2 linked regions of the Kluyveromyces lactis genome follow. The protein of the gene in region 2 binds, or shares a complex with, the protein of the main gene of each other region. Links are inferred from orthologs where the notes say so. Each region holds a gene or a part of one and is shown on either strand. Other genes may lie near its edges. The genes, in order: RPS5 and RPS12.

The links.
Region 1: RPS12 (region 2) and RPS5 share a complex: the UniProt entries of both Saccharomyces cerevisiae proteins name them as parts of the small ribosomal subunit. The link is inferred for Kluyveromyces lactis from reciprocal best matches to the Saccharomyces cerevisiae genes RPS12 and RPS5.

The regions. Positions count from the first base shown.
Region 1 is NC_006040.1:909,032-911,737, forward strand, and holds RPS5 (40S ribosomal protein uS7), read right to left. Parts: upstream 1,215-2,706; coding exon 531-1,214; downstream 1-530. Other genes in the region: IBA57 (Iba57p), read right to left, coding at 2,045-2,706. UniProt on the Saccharomyces cerevisiae protein: Component of the ribosome, a large ribonucleoprotein complex responsible for the synthesis of proteins in the cell.
Region 2 is NC_006042.1:18,358-20,748, forward strand, and holds RPS12 (40S ribosomal protein eS12), read right to left. Parts: upstream 1,094-2,391; coding exon 689-1,093; downstream 1-688. Other genes in the region: RAD17 (Rad17p), read left to right, coding at 1-437; GPB1 (Gpb1p), read right to left, coding at 1,767-2,391. UniProt on the Saccharomyces cerevisiae protein: Component of the ribosome, a large ribonucleoprotein complex responsible for the synthesis of proteins in the cell.

The sequences.
Region 1 (2,706 bases), on a different chromosome or scaffold from region 2:
ATAGTCAGAGTTACAGTCAATGAATGATTTATGAGCTAAGCTGGTCTAGCCTAACGTAATGTAAAAACTAATTTGTTTGTTTGTATTATACTATACGAGAAAAATACTTACTAGCTATAGTGGAAACACTGCTTCTAATCTTATATATTGAGAATGTGCAAAAAGTGTAGCGTTTCTTTATTACCTGTGTAAGTGTTCAAAAGGTTTGGGATGTCTTGAATGGAAGAGATAAACGGTGGGATGGATAAGAAAGGGAACCCACGGAAAATGAAAAATTTTGACACTGAATAGATCCCTTTCTTAGGTGGCATTATCTCCCAATTCGATGTGGTAGAGATGTGGTGGTGATTTAGATGTGGTGTATAACCGCGATACAGACACTCGCAACTCCAGTAGGTTCAAAGAAGATGTGAAAATGATTTGTGAATAGCCCGAGATATATCATCAAAATAATATTAAAAGGAAGTAATTAATAAAAAATAAATGTAATGTTTGACAAAAAACATGTAAATATAGTAATAATTCTTTCCTTAACGGTTGGACTTGGCAACTCTTTCCAATTCATCCTTCTTCTTGATAGCGTAAGAAGTAGAGGAACCCTTAGCAGCGTTAATCAATTCTTCAGCCAAAGTTTCAGCGATGGTCTTGATGTTTCTGAAAGCAGCTTCTCTGGCACCGATGGTCAACAAAGCAATAGATTGGTTGACTCTTCTCAATGGAGAGACATCGACGGCTTGTCTTCTGGCAGCACCACCACCACCGACTCTGGTGGTGTCTTCTCTTGGACCAGAGTTGATGATAGCATCAACAACGACTTGTAGAGGGTTTTGGTCGGTCAAAACGTTGATGATTTCCAAAGTGTGCTTGACAATTCTGACAGCCTTCAACTTCTTACCGTTGTTTCTACCGTTCATCATCAAGGAGTTGGTCAATCTTTCAACAATTGGACATTGAGCCTTTCTGAATCTCTTGTTGGCGTAACGGCCAGCAGTGTGGGCAACGTAGATTGGCTTGCTGATTTGGATGTAGTCAACCAAAGAAGCGTCCTTGACTTCAACATCTTCAAAAGACCATTTGTTGAACAACTTGATCTCTTGTTGAGCTTGTTGAATTTCAACTGGAATGGTGGTAGCCAATTCAACTGGAACAAATTCTTGAACGACTTCAAAGTCTTCTTGAACTTCAACTTCAACTTGGGCTTCGTGTTCAGACATCTTGATATATGTTATCTACGTTCCTTACGGTCCTCTTATTCTCGATCAAAACGAAGCTACCTAATAAAGATAAACACGAATGTAATACAAATATCAAAAATAATATCCAATACTGAAAAACCTATTAAACAATAATATCGCCTAATAGTACTGAAAACCTACAAGTCTTCCATAAACCTCTAAAAATTGACATCCTCCATACAATCTATAGAATGAACTACTCTGGAAAGAAAATCAACAAACCTTCGTTGTACCTGACACTTTCTGAGGGGACAGTTCCTCCCGCGCACCACTCCTAGACGGGAAAGGTCCAGGGTCGGCGCTGCTAAACCTAGGCTCGACCTGGTTTCCATCCCGTCCCAGGAGGAGATTGTGGAAGAAAGAAGGTAGGCAGAGGCTTCCACTACTGTGATAGGAAGTCAGCCTCCTGATGCTCCCTGTACAAATTCAGTATGTGTTACTCGCCTCCCACATCGAAATTTGGTGTTAGAATGGTTCGCAGTTTTCAAAATACCAAATCAGGAATATCAATTTTGGATAAACTTTCTTAATTTTTCATATTGAATGTTGGTGTGTGGGTGTTGAAACAGTCCAACATTCTGTCTTCCTATCATGTTTTTTAAGGTACTATCTATGACTGCACAATAATGGCGCATCTTCATTTCCTGGAAAGGCCGACGAATCATTCCGATTCTATCGATGTTCTTAACGATTAAAAGATGCATTGGTACGTGTAATTGATTTCTATAATATTACGTATAAATAGGTATGATGGAATGTCATGTAGTATTGGTGGACGCTCAGTGTATATATTCTTTTCAGACTCTGTGTTATTGTTCTTGTTCTACTTCCTCCGCTTCTGTCTCCTCGAGAAATCGATCCAACCATTCCAATTTTATTGAACATGCGACAGTTTCTTTATTTGGTAGTTCGACGTATGCATCAATATCGTGATGGTGTTTTAGGGCGTGGTAAATGTAGTCTTTTCTGACAACTGCAACTCCGATATTACCGTTATAGTTGATCAATTGTCCGGCCGGTCTGGTCCTTTTCTTAACGGGTTTTGATAAAGAACCAAACGGATTTATGGCTGCTTGAGTGTCCTGGTTTTGTACCTGTAGTTCCAATTTACTGAAAATGCTCAAATATTTGGAGTGATCCCAATCGGCCAATTTTTGAGGTTCATCGATGGTAATACCAACGCATCTTTTTTTCAAAACTCCAGTCGCAAAGGTTCTTGCTGTTAATTCTTGGCCAACGTAACATCCCTTATCGCTGTTTATAGAATCCTCAAAATAATCGAAATTCGCTTCCAATGCTAATAATGTTTCTGGGATGTATTCATGGTTCCCATCAAAGAGGCCAAATTTAAATCTCTCTTTTTGAATCTCAGTAGCTGATATATTGGCCTTTTCGAATGGGTTTTCGCCAAATGCTGTGCAATTAAATATGTCATTAATGTCAGATACCGAATTATCTGTTACAATCCGGA
Region 2 (2,391 bases):
ATGATCATCCAATGATAAGTGTTTTTGATTATGGAATGCTAGACAAAATACGAGCCAGTGCTCGGATTGCTTCAAAAATCATGATACGTAGAGATGTACATGGTTTGATGACTGTTAATATATTGAATGAAACGAAGGATATACTAAGACCTAATGACCAGGAGTATAAGAGGACTAGAGCCATTTCAGGTAACAATCTACCAAGTCATTATCCTGGGATAATTATTGAGATATGCATGCTTGAGAAAGCTCTTCCAGAGCTTCCAGACGTAAATGAGATAAAAGTAATGATGATTGAATATATGGGAAGTGAATCGCGCCATAATTTCCTTCCCAATACACAACAACCGCCGAAGAAAACTGCACATGACGATAAAGAAGAGGAAAATAGTGACGGGTATGAAGCTGCTTCGCAAGATTTGCCGCTATTCTTCTAGCGCAACCCTGCTTCGACAAGCTGAATTAATCAGGTTGGAATTAACGTCATTTTAGGTATAGATGGAAACTATTTGTAAACATATAGATACCCTAGAATATATATACAAACTATAAAATAGAGCATTTTATCAAACCAAACAATGTCCATATTCCCATGAAGAAATCTGTTTATGTTATTGTTGAGTATGAGAAAAATGAGTAAAACAGAAGCGTTAAATTGGATTTGAACATAGATTCAAAATCCACTCATTTATTGTTGGCTGAAATGTTCCAAAAGAATTTCTCTTTCTTGGGTGTCAGCACCCCAGTTCTTAACAACAACAACGGAAGCACCGACGACCTTTCTGGCGTTACCGTCACGGTCGATCTTACCCAAACCGGCCCATTCACCTAATTGCTTGGCATCAGCAACCTTGATTAATGGAACGTTGTTTTCAGTGGCCAAACCTTGGACCAACTTGCTGATGGCTTCTTCAGTAACCGATTCAACCAAAACAGCTAGTTGACCTTCACCTCTGGTCAAAGCCTTGGCAGATTCTCTCAAACCTCTGGCCAAACCATCGTGAACCAAAGAGGTTCTCAAGACGACCTTTAGGGCATCTTCGATGGTCAATTCAGCGACTGGGACTTGTTGGACTTCTTCAACGTCAGACATTTCTAATTTGATAAAATTTTCTAAAGTATTGACTTCTTCGACAGTGGTACTGCTCCGTGAAGACTTTAGAATAACATAAAACTAAAAACATACTAAACTAATAAGAAGACCATCCGAAACGTTTTATTCAATACTCTTCAACATATTAGCTTAAATCATGGGAATTCAAAATATAAAGCTTCCACCATTCACCGTGAAAAATAACTTTAAGGTTTAGCGCACTATATACGTTCAACACTTAAGATATTTCAGAATCAACAGACGACAGCGGAGGGCAGAACAACTGCGTCCTTTTCTTTCGCTGTAATGTCCAGGTGTTTTCGTGAACATTTTTCTTAAGACTAGTCCGTGGTGGCGCGTACTATGTTGACGTGTAGATGCCATATTTGGAAATTCTTTAGTTTTCTTCAGATTTGAGGAGGATTTTGGAATATGTACGGGTGCAAACAAATATGACAGTCACTGGTATTTTAATCTTGTTCAAGTCTTTTCATTAAGATTAGAAGTGATGAATACAACAGCATGGGTCGCGCTTCGTAGTTTAAATATCAATAAGCGCTATAGTCTAGTAGTCGTTCTGTCAACTCTGACGATTCACGAATTTGAACTGCTGTTTGCAGACAGTACGGATGTCATAAATACTTTCAGCATATCTCCGTTGAAAAGTCCGTCATTATACACCTGGGATATCAATCAATGGTAAGTTTACCAATGATATTGCACCACGTAGGAAAACATCACAGCTTTCCGTATCCGTTATAAGACCTCCTACCGTCCATATGTAGTCTTGATCGTAGACGATGGGATTACATGATAGTCTCAGCGCAGACAAAGGCATATCTTCCGTATATTTTGTTCTGGCTCTATTCATGATGTTAACAACTTCGAAGTTTCTAATTACCCGAGATGGTAAACTGATGAACGTGAAGGTTCCATCGGTATCATGCATGGGATGTTGATGTTTTTCGTCATACTTGTAGTCTTTCCAGTATAAAGAAGAATCCACGTCTTTTTGGCTCAATCCTCCAATTACCACGGTGATCTGTTTATTATGTACAAAAGTGTGTCCCGTAAGAGGAAATTCAACTATTTTGAGCTCTCCGGTCTCTTTGTCCTTGGCTTTCAATGATAGTTTTGTCCAAGTTCCCTCATCTAAATCATAACACCACATATCACCGTGAATAAACTTATTTGCGGAACCTCCATGTATTATTAGCGACTTATTTAATCTTTTGGGACTAGTGCTGGAATTCATGGTTCTTCCTGGAATCATCGGCTCGTTTACAACGGGTTCATCG